Linked DNA regions of Schizosaccharomyces pombe. The gene in region 4 interacts genetically with the main gene of each other region. Each region holds a gene or a part of one and is shown on either strand. Other genes may lie near its edges.

Region 1 (7,380 bases), 510 kb from region 4:
AAGAGCAAACCAACAATCGTGCGGAATTGCAAGCCATAATCCTAGCCCTTGAAAATACATCTGGCGATTTGACCATCCGCTCTGACAGCAATTATTCCATTAAGTCACTAACCACATGGCTGCCTAAATGGAAGAAAAATGACTTTAAGACTAGCAATTCACAACCTGTAAAAAATTTGGATTTGATCAACCGCGCTTCAGATTTGATGAGTGACAGAAATGTTTCGCTAGAGTACGTGAAAGGACACAGTACCGATTACGGTAATCAACAAGCCGATATGCTTGCTCGGCGAGGAGCTTCTGAGTAAATGGTCATCTATGATGAGCGCTGTAAAAAATGGATATAGGTACATTCTTTTGAAATTTGCCGTATAATTTTCGTCTACTCTTCGCTGGTTGTATGTGCTTTTTTTGTTCTCGTTTTGCATAATGCTACATATTTTATTGTAATTAAATATCATGCTATTATAACAATTTTAAAGAGGAAATTGAAAAGTATAGATTCGGAGCTAAGATAATTTTATTATTTAACGTTGAAAATGACACTTCGCACTAGTCAACAATTCCCTTTTCAATTAAATTTGGTTCGGTGTCTTAACGGCAGTCATCGAAATCATATTGCAATGGACTTAGCAAAGAATTAATAACAATTCGCTTCGTAATGAATTTGAAAAGGCTTAAATAGTGGTTTTGAAACGAACATTCACAGTTAATAGGTAGTTATTTGACTAACGTGAAGAAAGTGTACCAAAAATACTTTGAGTTTAGACAATGGGTGTCTCTAGCTTTTACCCACCTTTGCATGTACAGCGTCGAAGGAAATTATTTAAAATACTTCAAGGAGGCTTCCCTGTGCGATCTTTGTTAGACATTGGATGTGGAGATGCTCGTTTTCTATCATATTTAGTACCTTGCAATGATCAAGTGCCTATAGAATTTCTGGCCGGTATTGATATTAACGAACAAAGTATTGAAAGAGCTACTGAGGCTTTACAGGTTAGAACCGAAGACTTTTTACAACTACGTTGGCGACCGCTACATATTGAATTATTGCTTGGTAATATTAAAGATTTTACTCATTATAAACATGTTGATGCGGTTGTAGCTTCAGAGTTTATTGAGCATTGTCAAGTTGCAGAGATTTTAGCCTTTGAAAAACTTGTTTTTGGAAACTTGAAGCCCAATGTTTGCGTAGTGTCAACTCCGAATTTTGAATTTAACACAATCTTTGAGAAACTATCAACCTTGACAAGTAGTATATCATCTCGTACTTCTACCAATTTTAGACATCCTGAACACGTTTTTGAATGGGATCGAAAAGAGTTTGCTAAATGGGCTTATAAAATTTGTAAAAGATACCCAGAGTATACTGTTGAATTTACGGGCTGTGGTTTGCTAAATGATCTAATAGATGGTGACGATTTGTTACATTTTCGCCCATCATCTACTTACGGTTTCTGCACCCAAATCGCAGTATTTCATCAATCTAAAAACAATGCTGCTTCTCATTGCTTCTTAAAAGACCAAAATTCAAGCATCCTTCTTTACAAAAAGATTACATACCCATTTATGGAGCAACTATTTCCTCCAACAGTGCAGCAATTTATGAATCTTCTGAAAAAAGCATTTTTTGATCATTTATTTGGACGTCACTGTTTACTTTTATTCCAGGTTATTGCTGGCAAGTGTGCTTTGTCAGTAAAATTACCTTTCTTGTTTATCTGGGAGTCTTCGCCTCTCATTCGACATGCCTTCCATTATGATGATTCAATTTACTTATCATATTGTCCTGAATTAAAAAAAAGCAAACATAAAGGTATAGCTTTGGCAAACTCGTTTAGTTTTCGCATTGCAAAAGTACTTAAGAAAAGTAGAATTTTTATTATAACTTTTCATCATTACGTTTGATATACACATTTAGTAATTAAAAACATCCATCTTTTTCACCAGGACATTTCATCAAATCTTTTCAGTAAGTCAACAGATTGCTGAAGTTTCTTGTGTTCTGCAATTCGCATATAAAATATGGGGCAGTCTCTACTGGTACAAATGACGTCTTGATGCATACTTCCTTGGCATCGCTGACATTGAGTCCATAAGCGAGCAAAACGAACTTCTAAATCATTCACTTGAGCAACCTGACGTTGATACAGTTCCGCCGATCTATTTAGACAATTCTCACATAAAGCAGTTTTACCTTTTTTTATGGGAGCTTTGCATCCAAGACAGGTCTCAACCTTTACTGCGAATTTCATTATTCCTCCAACACTGGGGGCTGCCATGGAAATCGTCCGAGTATGGTCACCATGAAGTAAAGAGCTAGCTTTTTCACCAAGAATAGGCTCAAAAATTCTAAGCAAAGGTTTGGAGAGTTGATTTTCCAAATAATATTTTGCATCAATAGGAATGTTATTTTCCAATACATATATAGGGTCCTCCGACCTCATATAAAATTGATCACCTTGTGCACCTTTAATAATAACGTATGCAACGCGATCTCCTATGGCTGGGGCGGAGCCAGCATCTCGTTTACGCATTCGCTCAGCCAATTCAACGTGTGCCATTTTGGCAGCATAATCAGTTTTTGATAATGCCTTTGTGATTACAAGTTGTGACATATCAATTTTGTTTTGTAACAAATCGGAAATAACTTTTTTTGTAAACAACTGTGCACCCTCTACATCCTGATCAATTAACATTTTTCTCAAAGCTGTGTCAATCACATAAGATACTAGAGGACAGTTATCTCTTCTGACAGTTTCTATTCCTTTAGAGTCCATTTTATCATAAGTATCTGTACGAGTCCAAAATAATCCTGCATAACGTTTTTTGGAAATTAAAAGATATGGAAAGTACACTTTCTCAAACTCCAGTTTAATAGGATTCGGAAACTGGTCTGAAACATAATTAGCTGCTTCCTCTCCTAATTTCATGGCTTCAGGTAACGTTTTAACGCCAAACTTAACCATAACAGAATCAGTGTCACCATAGATTACAACTGCATCGTGAGAGTATCCATTCTCAATTCTGTATCTCTTTTCTACAACATCCTTGGTTTTTTCAATCATTTGTCGACCATAAGAGGTAACAGAAGAAGAAATTGCTAAACACGGCAAACGTCCGTTGGTAGCACCAGTAAATCCATATACTGAATTAGCACTTACTTTTAAAGCTAGCTGTCTACCATCCAAAACAGCCTTTTTGAATGGGTCCGTTTCCTTTTTTAGATCTGCTTTTGCTTTCTTACGTGCATTAAGTAAATCAGCTAAGATAATAGGGAGTAGTCCTTTACGAACATGTGGTTTAACGAAATAATCTCCGTTCGGAGTCACTGAGTAGTCAACATCTTGCTTAAGTTTTAATAATTCTGCAGTATTTGAGTCAAGTAATGTCGTATAGCATAAATTATGGGCTTGCATAATCGAAGGATAAAGTGAACTAAAATCCAGTGTTGCAATAGGGGTATCATAGTATCCTTTAATCGGTTCAATGACTGTAGCACCTTCATATTGCTCATCTGTTCCATTTACACGTATATTTGGAACAACTAGGTCATGTTGAAGAGCTTTGCGAAACAATTGAGAAATAACTTTAATCTGTTGGCCTCTAGCAAGAAGAAAATTAAACGGTACACCTGTTACTCTTGCCATTTCAGTATAGTTAACAAAACACATTAATTTGTCCATTAAGCGTTGGGGTAAATATGCATCTTTCAGACAATAAATAGCTAAACGTCTTCTAGAATCGGCAGTGCCATTTTGCAAGTCAGTGATGATAGAATAGTGTACATCTTCTTTTTGCTCGCCTAGAAACTGAGAGCAGACTGCATTTAAAGAGTAAGATCGAAGCTTAAAATCACGCTGCATTACTTGTAACATATCAAGCTGCAAACGCCCAGGAATACTAGTGGTTTTGCTTTCACGAGTACCATATGCTTTACTTGAAAACGTGGTTTCCTTTGCGACAGAAAAAAAATTATGAATACGGCCAAGTAATGGGAAATTGTGAATGCGTAAGCTTTTTGCTCGATCCAAGAGGTAAGGGATATCAAAGTTGCAGATGTTGTACCCAATTAAAACATCTGGGTCAACATCACGAACAAATTTTGACCAACTTGAAAGCATTTCAGCCTGATTTTGAAATTCATATACTTGTGTTCCAACGATTTGTGAGCATGTATCAACACAAAAGACATTACGAACAAAAGGAGTGGAGTCTCCATACTGCGTTACTATACTTGCAATTTGAATTACAGGGTCAATAGAGGGATCAGGAAAAACGCCTTTGCGACCTGCGCATTCAATATCAAAGCTCATGATCCTCAGTGGGGCCATTTTAGACCACTGGCCTTCAGCTGGAAGACTGATCAAGTCTTTGTAATTAATCCAAGCTTCAATTTGACAATTAGAAACTCGATTCTGGTAACGAAATTGATATTTTGAAGCAGGAAGATGAATCCAATTCATACCAACAACATCACAGTCAATCATGAATCTAAGAAGATATTGCGTATTGCTCTCAAAAGTAGTGACACCGACACCAACAGGGAAAAGCTCTTCGAAGTTGAATTCTCCTCTTTCAAATACATTTCGTGCTCGAGATAATATACGAGGGTTAGTAGTAAAGATTTTAATGAATGGAGATTTTTCATTTCCCTGAAATCCATATAAATTTTCCTTCATCTCTATAATGCAATGATCGATCACACCCCCATTACAAGTAGCATCTAAATCTTGTGTGAAACGTTCTAGCATCTCAGGTCGAAATCCAACCGGGGCTTTAACATAAAAGTACGGAAGGAATCCCACAACATGAACAAGGATGCTGTTTCCATTGTCAGTAACACCAAACAAACGAATTGAAGGTACAGATCCTTCTGTGAACTCCTCACTATCGATTTGCTGAAAATAAATATCATCCTTCTCAGGATTTATTGCAGGTAAAGCTGGTCGTTGCCACTGCTGATCTTTTGAAGCTATCAAGGAGTCAGTATACTAATAAATGGTTAGCTATCCAAAAAACCTTACATTTTATTTCATCTTGGTCCAATTGTGAAGCGTATTCAGCCAGCTCATCCTCAAAAGATGAAGTTTTTTCTTTTGAGGATGAGCCCTTTTTATCACCATATCCATTTCTTTCGCTTAAACGTCGCCGTTTGACATCTGTAATTTCGCCATGAATTGAACCATTTCTTCGGGGAAATGGATAGTTTTCTTTATTTAACACGACGCCCTCATTTGAAGACCTATCTGTCATTCTAGTAATTAATTTTTTATTTATTATGAAAATTAGAACAGAAAATGGTAAATAAGGAAGACACCAAGCTTACATGCTCTTGGTTTTTGGTAGGAAGACGAGCAACTAAAAGGGTTTTGTAGGTAACAACAAATAGGTACTTAGGCGAATATCTTGTAGGTAAGTTCAAAGCGTACACCAATAAATTTTGGTATGAGTGTCAACTGCTGAAAAGGTAAAACCACATTAAATAGGTTAGCTGTCAAATTACGATGGAGAAAGAAATCAAATATACAAGTTTATACCAATCTCCATCAAGCTACATAAACCACTACTTAATGTATTCTTGGGCATAACAAAAGACTAATTTATTATTAATGGAAGATATTAGTAATAAAAAGGACGCAATTGTCCAAAAACAAAAAGAACTAGATTCCAAGCAATAGGAATTAAGAAAACTGAGCAGAGTCATCAGCCTACAAACCGACAATTCCGATAATTTATTCTGAGACTTTGTTTACCAACGCCTAATGAATAATACAACATCAAGGTCATGTCAGTTAAACCAATACGATAACATTAACAGTAAATACGTAAAGAGATAGATTAAAAGCTGTGTCTGAAAGACAACTAAAAGAGCGAACCCTATACGGGCTAAAACCAAAACGGGATTTTAAGAGAGGGGTAAAAAATAAGATTTAAGAAGAACGAGGTTCAAGTGAGAGTGATTTATCAAATAAATAGGACAGATCTTGGTTAACAAAGCGACACCGATGTAAAATATAGCTTTGAAGATCAGTATTAGATTGCATTTCGTAAGAGGAGGATTGGAATCGGCACACATCTGCGACGACATCGGCAAGTCGATGCCGCTTATTAAAACTTAACAGATGTGGAGATGAATCAAGAACATCGGGGTTACCTTCATCGATAAAAGTCAAGTCACTTAATATGACACCCAAAAACGGTACGCAAGGAAGTTCAGCCTTGCGAAGTAAAGCACGATAAGTACTGAAATTTTTCTTTGTTTCCACGATTTCACGTAAACCAGACAGACATATTATGTCTTCAGCTTTAACAAGTTTGTACGCTGCATGTAAACGATAAATAGGAGCAGAATTTAAGGCAGAAACAATAGACATTAGAGTGGAAAAGTTTTGGAGGGACAAGCACTTGTAGGCAGTTTGTATAAAAAAGGATATTACTGCTGTACGAGCTTTGGTATTCTTTTTCTCTAAAATACAATTGATTATCCAATAGGTGAAACAATTCGAAAAGTTTATATAATTTCGGACAGCGCTGCGAGAATCGCGACTAACCCAGCTTCTAAATATCCATTCCCTCGAAGGAATCTGCTTTAGATAATCAAACTCCAATAATGTCATCTGGGAAGCAAATTCTTCAGGAGTATAAGCATATACGTTTAAAGAAATAAAAGTAGCCATGGGAGAAGATAATAGGCGTTGGGTTAACGAATCTGGAGGCTCTTCAGTCCAGAGATTGTCAATTTCCGATAAAATTACACTGCCAATATGAAAAGATGGAACAACATGGTCACGTAAAAAGGTACGCATCTCCGAAATCAAATAAAGAGTGTTACGGGCTTTTAAATCTTCAAAAAAGTATTTTTGAACCCACAAATTCATAACGGTGCAGACGTTCTTCTTGGTAACAAAATTATCTCCCTTTTCCCAAGAACTATATGCTGTAGCATCTAATCCTGGTGGCGGTAACTCGTGAAACAGAATGACAAGAAGCGTAAACAATTCCTGGGGGGTAGTGAACGTTTTATAAGTCAAAAGAAACGAATGGCGAAAATCTTTGTTCAAGTGAACGTTCTGGACAAGGTAATGCACGAGGGCCGGTAAAGTTCCACCTTTAACATTGTTATCGCTTTGCACAACTTTATTGGTTAACAAATTATCCAGCATCAAAATTGATTGCAAAGAGTTTCTGCCAAGTGTTAAGGTATCCTTGCTCATCTCGCTAACAGCGGTAAAATCAGAACTTCTAGAAATTCTAGTAGTACCTTTGTTAGTTTGACGAGCCGGTTCGTCATCTTTTGCTGTGTTTGCATTTGAAAACTTGTTTTCAAACTCTTTTGTTGCTAATTCCTGCATCTCATCGACGAGAGCAGCACGTACT
Region 2 (4,193 bases), on a different chromosome or scaffold from region 4:
TCTTTCTATTAACTGTGACTCTCCAGGACCTGCTATTTTTGAAGTTTGTCAAAAACTGAAACAATGTAAAATGGAAAGTTCTAATAATGTCGGTTCTACAAAGTTGGCAGCGTTAGTTTTTGCTGAGATTATAGACGCTTTTATAAGTCATATTTCTTATAAAACTATGGTTTTTTCCCTCATTCTTGTATTTGGAAGTCTACTAACATCCAATTACGCCTTTGGTCTTTATAGAGCTAGACATTCTCAAAATATCCACGATTATGCTGCCAACGCTATCCCGGCGATGATACCGTCCAGTAGATTCCTTCCTTCCAATCTTTCTGATATTTCCAATAGAAACCTTATCGAAGCTGCCTCTCAGGAGGAAGAAATTTGAACGTCTTCATTTTTCTACTAACCTCATTTTTCTTAAAATCATTTTTCATCACTTTCATTTATATCATTACTTTGAACGTTATTGGTATGCTTTCTAATTTGGCATACAAATTTCGTTATTCGGATTCATTTTCTTTTATAATTTTGTTAATTTAGCTGTTCATTGTATCGTATTGCTTTGTTTCTCACAAGGGTGAGCCAATTAATATTCTAACTTTGAATTTCTTTTTTGGAAAAATGCATTATTTATAAGCCTTTTAAACTGTAGTATATTAGTAAATTAAGCAAACTAAGCTTTTAAAACGGAGAATGATTGAATGAACTGTACATCTTTTCATTCAAACATTCAATGTTTGATTTTTATTTGTTAGACATAATTATTCAGATAATGGCGATGGCTATTCACACGGCAGAGAGTTTATTTTTTGTATATGGCAGTTGTGTTCTGAGTCCACATAAATATCACACCAATGGAATCCGAGCTTGTACGACTTCAAATCCAGGTATATTGGAAATTCCATTTCTTTTTGGAATAATTCTTTAAAGCCGGAAATCATAGACGCAAAATATGAAACACAATTCGGTCGTAAAGCTGCCCAAAAACTATTCCTTAAACAGTCAATTACCTCCATTTTTGCTGTTAATGGATTTACTTCCGGCAAGACCAAACTGGTATTTAAATCAGATTGGCGGGTTAAATCTATCATTCAATTAGTATTTCGTAAAACAAGCAACCCTTACTCGCTACAAATCCGGTGATCACCAAAGTTAACGGTTGAATTTTTAAATGCCCAGAAACACCTGAAAAAAGGTTGGAGAACTTGCATAAATCATTTCTCAAAAAGTTTGAGGATAACGGGTTCTCCAAGTTTGACACTAAAATAAATCAATATTCAATCCCATAAATTTACCATTTCTTACGAATTTCAGTCGTTGTGTCACTAACGCATGAATAATCACTTAGATTGTCAGAAGAATGATTGATTGGGCTAATGCATAGCAAATCTCCAATATAGGTATCCTTGAAATAATGCTTTTGAGAATTGGAATACAATATCTTCACTCGCTGACCATTGTTATCCAGTACAAGAAAATTTGAATTAACGGCAGCTAAGCGTCCCACTTGCCAGGAGTCGCATTTTTTTTCTTCAAAGTCATTCTCACTTAAAATTACCAAAATACCGATCATTCCATCCTGCCAGTTGGTACTGCCTTCCCAAACGGTACTCCAAAATGGAATAAGTAGGTATTGTTGCTTGTCTAGCAGCTTAGGGAAATCATGGTAAGTCCCTGAGAAATGTATAAAATTGGTATTGTTGTCTATAAGAAAAGCACCTTTTTTGTCTAAAGAAATGATGCGACCCAATTCCACAGTAATTCGTTTCACACCTTGATCACTTTTGCTTATAGTAATATCACGTATTTGAAAGAATTCATGTTCAGTTGATTCAACCATTGATTTCACAAAACTTTTTGATGCAGCATATTGCAATACTGGAACAAAGCTAGTTGTAGGAAGGAAACGTATTTGCTTTCGTAAATACCATTTTTGATGGATGCGTGACTGAGAAAAGCGTAAAGTTGACTAAATAAAGGTCTTAGATAATCACTGTTATAAAGGAGATGATATTCAAAAACCTTACACCTTTCAAAATGTTAAATGGTTCATGGAAGAGTAAATAAAAACTGGAATGCAAAATCATTTCGCACGTATTCTCCTCACTATCTTTCAGCTTCAAAGACGGTATTGGGGTATAATAATAATCATAGCAATGAAAATGAAACTGGTCTTCCAAATAAATAACTGCATCTGATTTCGTTAACCATTCCAAAGAAGAAAAAACTGTTTACAAAAAAGGAGGTCAATATCTCTTTATACCAAAAAAAAAAGTAAACTTTCTCGTTACCATTGTCCAATTTATTTCTCTCCGAGCACTACGTTCATGCATGTCAGATTTTATCGACTTGTAGAGTAAGTAGATTCCTTACCGCTAATTCAATCTCGTTAATTAAAATGGGATAGCTAAACCCTGAGGGATACTCCTTTAACAAGCTGATAGTTTTGTTTATTAACCTAAATTGTCAGTAGCCACTCTTTACATATGCGTTAACTTTTAGCATCTACTCACCAGTAATCAGTGAATGCTGGTTGTTTAGATTTCTCAACTAAGCGGTTTTCTAGATCTTCTTTTATTTTTTTAATCAGACCTGGAAAATCCATATAATCATTAAATTTACTACTGCTCTAAGATTAGTAGTTGATAGAATATAGATAATTGACAGCTGCCTAAATACTCCATTTAGTATCATCTGTTTTTATACTGTTACGCCTAATGATATTGAACAATACTTATAAAATTTTTACAATTTAAAAACTTGTTTGCTGTCATTATTTTTGTTATTTCATATCACAATCGAAATTTTAAGTAAGAAGACACAATAAACAGCATATAACCAAATATAATATTTAATTCATTTAAAACAGATATCTATCCGGTTTTGGGATGCTTGTCAAAAAAGATGAAACATCTAGCAAACAAAAAAGCATATGCTTGTAAAATATTAAAACAAACTTAAAACTACCCATCTAGAGAAGGAATGCACTCGTAAAATTAAATTGTTTTCTTATTATCTTCTACTAAGAAGAACCAACGTGCGATGAACGTAGCCTGGCGGGTTAGTAAACGATTAACGAAATAAGGAATTTACTATATTGACATACCGTTGAGATTGTTCTTGGAGAAGTAAATTCATAATAATAAGGGACAGCACCAGGTACAACAAAATTTTTAATCAATGATGCCTTTTCGGATGATTCTCTATCATTACTGTCGCTAACCGGATTGACATCTCCAGCATGTAATGTCATCATAGGAATAGTGGATTGATTTGTCCACACTAAATTTTGAATAGAACGGGGACACAGAGCAAAAATGCCTTTTACAGAGTTTGGTCGAATGTGTTTTAGACTCTCAAGAGCGACAGACGCACCAGTATCTTCACCTAGGAAAAAAATACGTTCTGGATCTGCATCATAATAGATGGCATTCTCTACTATCCAATCTACACACAAAGATACAAATTCGACGGCATCGGAAAGGGGAAATTTTGGAGGCTGGGCGTAATTGGGAACCACTACGAAGAAGCCTAAAGATGAAAGGTAGGGAATGATAATGCTTTCGGATTTCTTAGCACCACAAACCCAAACAATAACAGAAGATGCGGATGCAGATTTTGGAGGTGAATAAGCGTTTAATAAAAGGTGACTTTTGTAAACGAGACGCTCAGCATTATTTTTGGCTAAAAGCCAGTTAGGAAGATAAGAGATGTATGGGTAGCGTTTGACGGTTGTCCCATGTAAATCATTGATAAATAACCTACTGAAGCATTTTGCAAGTGAGCTATTTTTTTGCTGATCGCGGTTACCGATGCTTGGTTCAAGAGATGCGGGTAATTCAGACTCGAGTTTTCGGGCGGCAAGTACATTAACAGCGGCCAAAGCAAACAAGGATCCAAGGCCAAGCATATCAACAAAAAATATTTTGTCGTAGAAAGAAGAAAATTGGGCACCCATACGCTCAGCAATTATAGTAGCAACGAACTTAACGCTTGCCGCTTCTAAGCTTTTCTCTGAAACAAAAGCAAAAAAAGAAGCAACATTTGATTCAGATGCACCGATGACTATCTTGGACAACAACTTAACCAAAAATTTGCGAACTTCCAGCTGGTATGCTGAAAGAATCACAAAAGATGAAAGTACTACCCAAATAGAATAAAGAATCGTCGCAAACCCCATTACTACATGGAATGATTTT
Region 3 (3,437 bases), 1.2 Mb from region 4:
AGAAGACACATCTTTTCTTAAAAGCTCTAAGACATAGTTTGTTTTCAAATTGGAGTCAATAGACCCGCGTTTTAGTAAGGTGGACAAATTCTTTTTATCAAATGTAAACACTGAAACCTCTTCGTTGGTTCCCTTTTTGGATGCCGAATAAACAGTCCAAGGACCTACTTGGACTGAATTTTCTTTCTGGATATCATAATCATATTTAATTTTTTTGGAATTTGATACTAAACATTCAACGTTAGAATACTTACTTGGGATACGAAATGTATCTAAATAGATTATAGAAATGACGATGAGGATGATCAATTACATAAACATAACTACAATCTTTCATACAGCGCTGATAATCGAGTTTATCAAGGAATATAGCATACCTAGTCGAAGTGCATTGGCTAACATAAGCTGAAAAAGTGGATGGCTTTGGAAAAAAACAACTTAAAACAACAAAAACAAAAAGAAAAAATTATAATTATTTTTGAATCCCTTCGAAGCAAACCAAGTATAAAAATTGAACACCTTTTTTTCGCGGTAGTATACAGTGGAGATGGTAGGAATGAATGGCTTATGGATGAAATTTTTAGGGTCAGTTCAAAAAGCAGTGAAACTCTTATTTGGGAAACAGAGGATTAAATAAAAAGACAATTAATTAAAGATTATAAGAAAGTCGTATTTTTTAGTTTGATAATCATAACTTAGCCAAAAAACCTTGGGCAATGAGTCGTTCAACGTCTGTAGCACGCACATGCAATTGTGAATTTTTAGTAAGGTTAATAGTACCATATTCAGTTTCAATATCTCCAACGTCCTTCAAAACTCGGACGTCTATGAACAAATTTTTAGGAGGAACCAAAGAACCAGTCAAATCCAGCTCGGACCAAGCGCCTTTATAAGCAGCCAAAAGTTCTGAATATCTCGTTAAATAGTCACGCTCATAAGTACTTAGAGATGTATCTAAACAAGATTCCATTCGTTTGCCTCCGCTCCAACAGTATTGACGAAGCCGCTGCAGCCTTAAATTATGGTAAGCCATTAAACATCGCTTATTGTAGATACTAGAAGAATGAAACATCAATAGAGCTGCCGCTTCAGAAGGATGGTCCTGGGGCTGGAAAGGTTGACTAGCCTCATGTGTAACATTTTGAAGAATTCCTAGACTTTCGCGATCTGCTGCACGAATTTCGTTGACAACATCATTAACGGTGTCCGCTTGGTAAGGTGGGAGATAATCTAAATACTGAGTTCGCTTTGAGTCCCGAATTAATTTATTTGATCGATTCCCCAAACCATTCTCCATAGTGATTAGAAGCACTAACTATCACGATATGCTTAAACAGATTTTCCTAATTATGTTTAGTTTAAAAGAAACGGATTAGTATAATTAACAACGACACTCGATAGTTGTTTAAAGCTATATTGAATGGTTGTGGATGACAAGTCGTTGGAAAATGACATGTCTTTCATAAGACCATAATGATGCATTCCTTAGTAGAAATTTTACTGTAAATAAAACATGGATCTTTTATAACAAAATTATTAGTTGAACCTACTATGCGAATTTTTAAGAATTTATTATTTAAACATTCACACAGATTTAAAATGAAGCGTATACTTACTTGGATTACCTCAGTTTCATAAAGTAATGTATACTAATTCAAAGGATTGAATGAGCCCTAAAGGTATCATTAAACCGAGTTCCTCACATCGTCACACATGGAATGAAGAGATGATTTAACGAAGCTTCAAATTATCAACTTACAAATCATTGCTACTAAAATTATAGAAACCAGATAAAGTTTCATTTCAAAATAAAAGAAAGGATATCATTCAATGATTACAATTCTCACGTAATATTCAGAACACAGTACGATGTGCTTGCTTCATCGGACAGGGCTTTAAGGGAATAAAACAATCACATTGATGAGAAATTAGAATCTAAAGGGGTACAATTTAAAACCTATCACTCATATCCAAAAAATGGCAAGGCATATTTAGCTTCAAATAATTGAGCTTTAATGTAGCTTAAAATGATTTTGTCAGTAAGACTTTCTTTTCTGCTTACAACATAAAATCCAATCGATGTATTGGCCGTACTCAAAAAAATCCGCTTTATGTATAATCTGCGGAAGATTACACAAATTCAATAGCATGAATATCACAAAGAGCCAACGAACCAGTCCAGAGTAACAATCTGTTACAAAAACAAAACTTTTGATGCTTATTGATGATAGCAAAATACATGATCCAATATTTTCTCTTCAAATGATAGGTATAAGGACAGGGAAAGAGTCTCATACGTAAAGTAATAATATCTCAATTATTTTTTATTTCAAACGAAAGTTTCCCCTTTTTTTCCACTTAAGGAAAATTCCCTAAAATCCAACGACTTTTAATTAAAGGTTCATTAGAGATTAGTAATTATCATTACACGTATTATTTACATCGTTTTTCGATTAAAGCCAAACGATCAGAACCATGTTCTTCATATTCTTGACGTGATATCCATAATTGATGAAACGTTCCAAGACTACTTAAAATAGATCCACCTAACCATGAAGCATAACTGCGTTCAACAACATGACCGGAAGCATGGATTTTAAGACGGCTGCCAGGATATAATTTTGAAAGTTCATTTTGCAGACGAAGAGAGAATCCTTGCATCAAACTAGTGCCTCCACAAACAATAACATTGTTGAGCAAAGAAGCACGGATATCAACATCGCATTCCGAAATACAGTTCTGGAACAACTGAGGTATCCCCAAAATGCGAGAAGAAGTGTTGGTAACCGAAGAATCTTGTTGTGATACCTCATTATTTTCGGTTTGTTCTATTGGCTTCGAAGGTTCCTCGTTCATTTCTTCATCACTTCCTGGCACAAACAAATGTTCAGGAATTTGATAGCGTTCCGCGCCAAACATCATACGGGAACCGTCTGGAAATTCGAACTCTGATTCAGCAATCGTGGTTTCAGATGAAAATGGAACATCGGAAATGAGAGCACATTCTTCTTTCCATTCATCGTAGACTCGCTGGACCTGAAATTGATGATAAGAATCTGTAGTATCACGAGGACGTAACTCACAATTAGCTGGCTGCCCTATCTCCACTGGATTTTTGCTTTTCACTAAGTACTTAGGCATCACTTCGAAATTCTTATCCCTGAGAGTTTGCGCCAAAATATCGTTAATTGCATTCCCAGAAAAATGTTGAACCTGATAGCCTTTTTGAAGCACAAAACCATCATATATAGCAGACACCGAGCTACGCTCCGCACCAATGTCTACTAAACAAGCAGTACCTTTCCCGCTTGCAAACGCCGCACACGTCTCCTGCTTGGCGAGGTATGTTGCAGGACAACGCAAAGATTCAAACATCGTTTCTAGTGTTTTCACTCGATTTTCTGGGGGATTATCAAATGGTTCCGTAATCAAGATTG
Region 4 (7,608 bases):
CATGCGATGCCCTCGCAAGGTCGTAGACTGACTTTACGATAAAGGGGTAAACATACACGCACGAAAGATTGAGATGAGCTAGTACTTATAAAGTAAATAACGAACAAAAAGTCTACCATTGTTTAGTTAATATTGGGAAAATGTGGATGCTGTATATTTTTAAGACTTTTTTGCTGTTAATACAACGTTCAAGATACCAAGAGTATGTATTCCACCCATTGTAATGGCACCCTAAAAAGATTGAATTCTTCGAGGCAGTTAAAAATTCAACATTGGATTCTTTGGTGATAATTCACACTCTTCAATGAATACCATTTAAAAATGACAAACCATTCCGATGAACTCAAATTTAAAATATTAATTGAATAAGAGTTAATCGATCAAATGAAAAACTCAGCATACCATGCAATAGAGGGATGAAAAGAGCTTAAGAATAAGTAGAACCTAAAGAATCAAATGAATGCAATTACTCGTTAAAACCTTCATCAATTTCTTGAGCGGACCTTGAAGAGCGATGCTTCGGGGTCTTTTCTGCTGCTTCTGTAATTTTAATGTTGAAGTTATTAGTTTCAAGCTGCTTGCGGTAATTACACCCTTCCCAAGAGACGATGCTCATTCCAAAATAAGTTCCGAACCCCCAATTAGCAGCTCTAGAAATAGGTGCTTGAATATTGTTAGCATGTGTCGGCAAGAATTTAAACCGCTTATTAAACAACGGATTGAAATCACCGTTTTAAAAAGTTGGTCCGAAAATTAAAAGACATGCGATTTTTTTTGACGGACATCAATTAACCAGCATAATGTTTTTTTTCGTACCTCGAAGAAACAAATGGATGCAACCAACACCTAGACCACAGACGACACTGGTGATTAATGATTCCTTAAAACAAGGATGGTGTACCATGTGAGCAAAATCACTCATCTTCAATGACTACAAGTAGTATTAGCATTCCTTGCATTTACAACAAACTAGTCCTTTTTAAGCTATAAATTCTACCTTGAAAGCGTCAATAATCCCAGGTTTTTCGGGTTCATTTGGTGTACTCATAGTTACTGATTCGTTTAAGCTTTTTCAGTTAATGGTGGAATAGAGGTAAATATAAGGTATCAAACTGATTGAATTAAGCACTACTAAGTTTTTTTACTATGGCGGGGTCTTTAATCCTGTACTTCAGCAATCAGACAATATTTTTTTCTTTGAATTAATATAAACTTTTCCATTTATGATAGTATATTTCGCCAAAATAACCAAGCTTTGACAATTTATATCACTGAAAGCAGAAACCGCGTCACCATGCTTCTCTAAAAGAAAACTGCTTTTTTTTTTTTTTTTTTTTTCTTTAAATTCAATCCTTAAAGGAAGCAATATCGATTTGAAATAATTACTTACGGTCGAAACACACGATCATTAGGCTAATGTATACTAAATTTTGTATTTTTTTGTACTTTGTCTTTATTTTATGGCAAAAATAAATAAATTGTAATGCTTTGAACTGGAACATGATACCCAAAATAATTTGCAAGTTGTCGACGCGACGCGACTTGTTGTTTACCAATTTGTTGCCTCTTAACTCGGTATTAATCCAAACCACTATATCACATTTAAAAGGATACCTAATGTTTGTACAATAGAAGAAGTTTCTTCTTAATACTATTCCATTTATTAATTTAGAATTCTCTGGTAACAATCGGAAATTACTAAACTGTCGGTCTCTTTTTACTTTCTTTTTTTAATATTTATTTTGTATTGCTATGCCCTTAAAAACAGCTCGAGGAGCATCCAAATATCAGTTTAGGAAATTTAATGGTAACTACAATGGAAAAAGTAAATCGAACGGTAGGACGTTTGCAAAATCAACCGAGGAAGTTGGCTTCAATGATCCTATGAAAATTGTCTACAAAAAGAATGAGATTGATCGAATGATGGGTTTTGATAGCTATGAAGGTGGACAACCACGAGAAGCTTGGCTTCTCAACGTTCATCCAACAGTAATCGAAAGCACCAAAGGCAATTCTACCCTCAGTGCCGTTGACTTTTACTTCATTCAAGACGATGGTGACACTTTCCGGTGTACCATTCCATACTCTCCTTACTTCTACATTGCTGCTCGAGAAGGTAAAGAAGCTTTGGTTGACGATTATTTAAAAAAAAAATTTGTGGGCTTAATTAAATCTACTACGCGTATCTTTAAAGAAGATTTACAGCTAAAAAACCACATAGTGGGTTACCAAAAGTTGTATATAAAGTTGGTTTTTGATAACCTGAATGACCTTCAGGCTGTCAGGAAGTCTTTGATGTCTGCTGTGAAAGCTAATTCTTCCCAACAAGATGCCGTTGATGCATACACTAACTTGTCTTCGGAGAATTTAAACGGGATTATAGAAAACGCATTTGAAGATCCTTTAAATCATGTTTTAGATATCCGTGAGTACGATGTTCCGTATCATTCTCGTACACTTATTGATTTGAATATTCGAGTCGGACAATGGTATACTGTTTCATATCATGAAGGCCATGTTCAAATATCCCTTTTAGCTTCCCGAATCGAGCGTGCAGAACCTACTATAATGGCTTTTGATATTGAAACCACTAAGCTGCCATTGAAGTTTCCTGATAGCTCGTTCGATAAAATAATGATGATATCTTATATGATTGATGGCCAAGGATTTTTAATTACCAATAGAGAAATTATTTCCCAGAATATTGAAGATTTTCATTATACTCCGAGGGAGGAATTTGAGGGCCCATTTATTATTTTTAATGAGCCTGATGAAGTTGGCCTACTTCATCGATTCTTTAAACATATAAGGTCTGCAAAGCCTTCAGTAATAGTTACATACAATGGTGACTTCTTTGACTGGCCATTTGTAGACGCACGTGCTGCATTTCACGGATTGAATTTAACAGAAGAAACTGGTTTCTTCAGGGACGCAGAGGATGAATATAAGTCTTCTTATTGTAGTCATATGGATGCCTTCCGGTGGGTAAAGAGAGATAGTTATTTACCTCAAGGAAGTCAAGGTCTCAAAGCTGTCACTGTCAGTAAATTAGGTTATAATCCTATCGAACTAGATCCAGAATTGATGACTCCTTATGCAAGTGAAAAACCTCAAGTTCTTGCTCAATATTCAGTTTCAGATGCTGTTGCTACTTATTTTCTTTACATGAAATATGTGCATCCTTTCATTTTTTCTCTTTGTAACATTATCCCATTAAATCCTGATGAAGTTTTACGTAAAGGCACGGGTACGTTGTGTGAAACGCTTTTAACTGTTGAGGCTTGTACAAAAAATATTATTCTTCCGAATAAACATGTTGATGCTAGTCAAAAATTTTTCGACGGTCATTTACTTGCAAGTGAGACTTATGTTGGAGGACATGTTGAAAGTCTTGAAAGTGGTGTTTTTAGAAGCGACTTGCCGACTAATTTCAACATGGATCCAAAAGTTTATGAAGAACTAATTTTACAGTTGGACAAAGCCTTAGATTTTTCTTTAACAGTTGAAAACAACGTCAATGTTGATGAAATCGAAAATTATGAAGAGGTTAGAGACAGCATATTAAAGAAACTAAGTGACCTTCGTGATCGACCAAAAAGGTCGGAGAAGCCAAGGATTTACCATCTTGATGTCGCCTCAATGTACCCAAATATTATGATTACCAACCGGTTACAGCCAGATTCAGTAAAAGATGAATCGTTTTGTGCAACATGCGATCTTAATGTGCCCAATAAGACATGTGATCGTCGGATGGTATGGGCATGGAGAGGGGAGTATTACCCTGCTAAAAAAGGTGAATATCATATGATATATTCTGCTTTACAATCTGAGCGTTTTCCAGGCCCTACCCCTTTCTCACCTTTTAGGTCATTTCAAGAGCTTTCTCCCTCAGAACAAGCTGCTATGGTGCAAAAGCGCATTGCGGATTACAGCCGTAAAGTGTATCACCGTCTATATGATAATACCGTTATCGAAAGGGAAACTATAATTTGTCAAAAGGAAAACTCATTTTATATTGATACGGTAAAAAGCTTTAGGGATCGCCGTTATGACTTTAAAGGATTGCAAAAAAAATGGGTCAAACAACTTGCTGCTATAAAGGAAAAAGGAGGACTTGCTGAAATAGAGGAGGCCAAAAAGATGGTCGTACTCTACGATTCTTTACAGTTAGCTCACAAAGTTATTTTAAACTCTTTCTATGGATATGTCATGCGAAAAGGCTCCCGTTGGTATTCGATTGAAATGGCTGGTATCACATGTTTGACAGGCGCTACGATTATTCAGATGGCTCGTCAAATAGTTGAACGTGCAGGTAGGCCATTGGAACTTGACACAGATGGTATTTGGTGTATTCTTCCAGAATCGTTTCCTGAAAACTTTGAATTTAAAAAGAAATCCGGAGGAAAGGTTTTTATCTCTTATCCATGCGTTATGTTAAATCACCTGGTTCATGAAAAGTTCACCAATCATCAATATTCTGCCTTAAAGGACCCAGAGAAATTGGTGTATGAAACAACTAGTGAAAACAGCATTTTTTTTGAGGTTGATGGTCCTTATAGAGCTATGATTTTGCCTGCTTCAACGGAAGAAGGTAAAAACTTAAAAAAGCGTTATGCCGTTTTCAATTTCGATGGTAGTTTAGCTGAACTTAAAGGCTTTGAGGTGAAAAGAAGAGGAGAATTGAAGCTCATTAAGGATTTTCAATCTCAGATATTTAAAGTTTTTTTGAAAGGTGATTCTTTAGAGGAATGCTATCAAGAAGTTGCCTATGTTGCTGACACTTGGTTAGAGATTCTATTCACCAAAGGCTCTAACCTAACAGATGATGAATTAATTGAACTGATTTCTGAGAATCGTAGTATGTCTAAAGCTTTGTCTGAATACGGAAGCCAAAAATCGACATCCATTACTACAGCCAGGCGACTGGCTGACTTTTTGGGTGATCAAATGACCAAAGACAAAGGTCTAGCATGTCGTTTTATTATTTCCGCAAGTCCAAAAGGAAGGCCAGTTGCAGAAAGGGCAGTACCGGTAGCTATTTTCTTTGCTGAAGAATCTGTTAAGCGACATTTTCTTAGGCTCTGGTTGAAAGATAATGGTCTATATGATGTTGATATTAGAGACATTATTGATTGGGATTATTATTTGAAACGTCTAGGATCAGTAGTACAAAAACTAATTAGCATCCCTGCTGCTCTCCAAAGGATTTCAAACCCCGTTACCCGTTTTCCATTGCCGGACTGGCTTCAAAAACGAGTTGCTGTCTTGAATTCTAAATACCAACAGAAAAAGATCGATTCCATTTTCTCCTTAGCCCCTACAAATCCATCCACAATAAACAACACAAAAGTTACTGATATTGAGGATTTAGGAAGTGTGACTCACAAAGATAAGCGTATTGTCGCTCGAGTTACCAAGCGTAAACTTTTACAACAATCTGGGAACTCGGAAGCACCTGTATCTTTTGAAGTAAAACCTGTATCCTTTATGGATGGATATTCGAATTGGCTTAAGTATGCTAAGAAAAAGTGGAAATATCAGAAGCAGGTCAAGCTTCGAAGAAGACATTTAATTGGGTTTCAATCAAGGCAATTCACCAATGTTTTACAATCTTCTGCTGAAGTTATGTTTGAAAATTTATGGCATATTTTACAAATACGAGAAACCGATGTTCCTGGTATTTTACATGCTTGGGTAATTATTCGTAATCGGTTGACCTCGATACGGTTCATTGTGAATAGAAAGTTTTTTGTATGTTTCAAAGATGAGACTTTACCGAATGTTGAAATTGAGGGATGCTTAATTGAAAAAAGCAATGCGATATTACCGCATGGAAGCACTTCGGATAAGCTTTTTTTACTTGAAATTCCAGAAAAGAGCTATTTAACGGAAAAGGTATCAATTTCTATGATTTTTGCCCATCCGTCTGTTAGTGGAATATATGAGACTCGTATAGAACCAATTGAAAGATTGATATTAGAAATGGGATCCAGAAAAAGGTTTAATAATTCAGTACCTGGAGCGTTAGGTAAAGGCTTCGAATTTGGATTTGAATCTAAAATGTTCACTGACCCAAGTGATAACGATGTTTCCTATCTTGATGGAGTAGAGATGAACTACCTTTATGCATTCCATTTTTCCATTAGTAATAGGTTTGTTTTTTCACTTTTTATGCCACATTTAAAAAAAGTTGAGGCCATAATTTATGACAAACTGCCAGGTAGTGATATGTCTTTCCCATCAATCAGCAAAATTTACGAAGAGCTACGGTCGAAATTTGATAATTTAATTAAGGAAAGTAGTATCGAATACCCTGATACTCTTTCGTGTAATGTCATTTTCTCGGGAAACGAAAGGAAAGCGTACAAACTGATAGATGAAAAGTTGCTTCAATATTTTTCAACTAAAACTAAAAATAGTCTGCTTATTATTGAAAGTTCACTCCCTCACATATTGAAGGCAAATGTGAAGCAAATTGAAGAGCTTCCGTATATAATGATACCACGGCTTGAGAGCAACATACAGTCTCTTTCTTGGAAACAACACATTGCTACGAAAATGATCCAACATTTCTTAGCTATTGGTAGCTGGCTTTTCCATCGCATACAACTTTCTCGCTTCTCAGATATCCCATTATGCAACTTTGAAAGCGATGACATTCAGTACAGTATCGATGTTGTTTACTCTAGAAAGCTGAAAGAACATAATATTATCCTTTGGTGGAATAAAGGCCCAACTCCAGACTTAGGTGGTATTGAGAAGGATAGTATTCTGCAGATTGCCAGTCCCAAAGATCCACTAGAAGTTAACAATCCTGGTGCTTATTCAAATGCTTGTGTTGACATTTCTCTTTCCAACCTTGCACTTTGTAGCATTCTCAATTCTGCTCTCATAAATGACATAGAAGGTATTGGCGACATGGCAGCTTTGAATGATAATTACATGACCGCCATAAATGATGATCTGGAGGAAAAGTTGGGAATACATGATAATATTGGACTGACACATTCATTGCCGGTGTTGAAGGCGTTGGTTAAAACTTGGTGGAACGAAGCTGCATCCGGTAATAATCTCGCTGATCTTATAATTCAACATTTAGCCCGATGGATTTCTTCATCAAAATCTTATCTGTACAGTCCTTTACTCTCCTCGCACGTGGAAGTTATAATGAGAAAAACTTTTTTACAACTTCTCTCTGAGATAAAACGCCTTGGAGCACATATCATACACGCTTCTGCTAATAAAATATTAATCAAAACGAGCAAATTAATCGTCCAGAACGCTGTCACTTATTCAAATTATTTACTCAAATCCATTAAGACGTTACCACTATTTCACTTTTTGGATCTAAATGTCACGGAATACTGGGATTATCTTTTATGGATGGATTCCGTTAATTATGGAGGAAAAATGGTGGCAGCAAATTTTTCAGCTACAAATGAAGAACCACAGACAGTTGTTTCATGGCACATTAAAAGTCATTTACCTCCAATCATTCAGCCCGAATTTCAGAGTTGGATTGTTGAGTTTATTGAAGAGGTTTATAAGCAAAAATTAGAAAAGTCTAATACAAAAGTTGGGTTTGTTCGCGTGAAAAACAACAATGCT

The links.
Region 1: mutations in cdc20 (region 4) and cdc6 are lethal when combined (synthetic lethality), as found in Schizosaccharomyces pombe (one study listed by BioGRID).
Region 2: mutations in cdc20 (region 4) and cdc24 impair growth when combined (synthetic growth defect), as found in Schizosaccharomyces pombe (one study listed by BioGRID).
Region 3: mutations in cdc20 (region 4) and psf1 impair growth when combined (synthetic growth defect), as found in Schizosaccharomyces pombe (one study listed by BioGRID).

The regions. Positions count from the first base shown.
Region 1 is NC_003423.3:2,741,719-2,749,098, reverse strand, and holds cdc6 (DNA polymerase delta catalytic subunit Cdc6), read right to left. Parts: upstream 5,338-7,380; 5' UTR 5,257-5,337; coding exon 5,028-5,256; intron 4,976-5,027; coding exon 1,944-4,975; 3' UTR 1,909-1,943; coding exon of another isoform or gene 772-1,908; 3' UTR 503-771; downstream 1-502. Other genes in the region: ribonuclease H Rnh1, read left to right, coding at 1-308; hen1 (S-adenosylmethionine-dependent methyltransferase), read left to right, coding at 772-1,908; Ras guanine nucleotide exchange factor efc25, read right to left, coding at 5,934-7,380. UniProt on the Schizosaccharomyces pombe protein: Catalytic component of DNA polymerase delta (DNA polymerase III) which participates in chromosomal DNA replication.
Region 2 is NC_003424.3:2,863,189-2,867,381, forward strand, and holds cdc24 (DNA replication protein Cdc24), read right to left. Parts: upstream 2,639-4,193; 5' UTR 2,600-2,638; coding exon 2,508-2,599; exon of another isoform or gene 2,453-2,507; coding exon 2,368-2,452; exon of another isoform or gene 2,314-2,367; coding exon 2,286-2,313; exon of another isoform or gene 2,222-2,285; coding exon 2,022-2,221; intron 1,964-2,021; coding exon 1,300-1,963; intron 1,255-1,299; coding exon 1,120-1,254; intron 1,079-1,119; coding exon 777-1,078; 3' UTR 542-776; downstream 1-541. Other genes in the region: brr6 (nuclear envelope protein Brr6/Brl1), read left to right, coding at 1-379; SPOM_SPAC8F11.08C (esterase/lipase), read right to left, coding at 2,991-3,047, 3,101-4,174. UniProt on the Schizosaccharomyces pombe protein: Has a role in the progression of DNA replication and in the maintenance of genomic integrity. Acts during S phase, after initiation, where it is essential for completion.
Region 3 is NC_003423.3:2,013,360-2,016,796, reverse strand, and holds psf1 (GINS complex subunit Psf1), read right to left. Parts: upstream 1,436-3,437; 5' UTR 1,298-1,435; coding exon 689-1,297; 3' UTR 501-688; downstream 1-500. Other genes in the region: serine/threonine protein kinase Ppk32, read right to left, coding at 1-227, 378-402; alp5 (Ino80, NuA4 and Swr1 complex actin-like protein Arp4), read right to left, coding at 2,434-3,437. UniProt on the Schizosaccharomyces pombe protein: The GINS complex plays an essential role in the initiation of DNA replication.
Region 4 is NC_003423.3:3,252,137-3,259,744, forward strand, and holds the start of cdc20 (DNA polymerase epsilon catalytic subunit Pol2), read left to right. Parts: upstream 1-1,585; 5' UTR 1,586-1,752; coding exon 1,753-7,608. Other genes in the region: respiratory chain complex IV assembly protein Cox20, read right to left, coding at 467-663, 817-931, 998-1,048. UniProt on the Schizosaccharomyces pombe protein: DNA polymerase II participates in chromosomal DNA replication.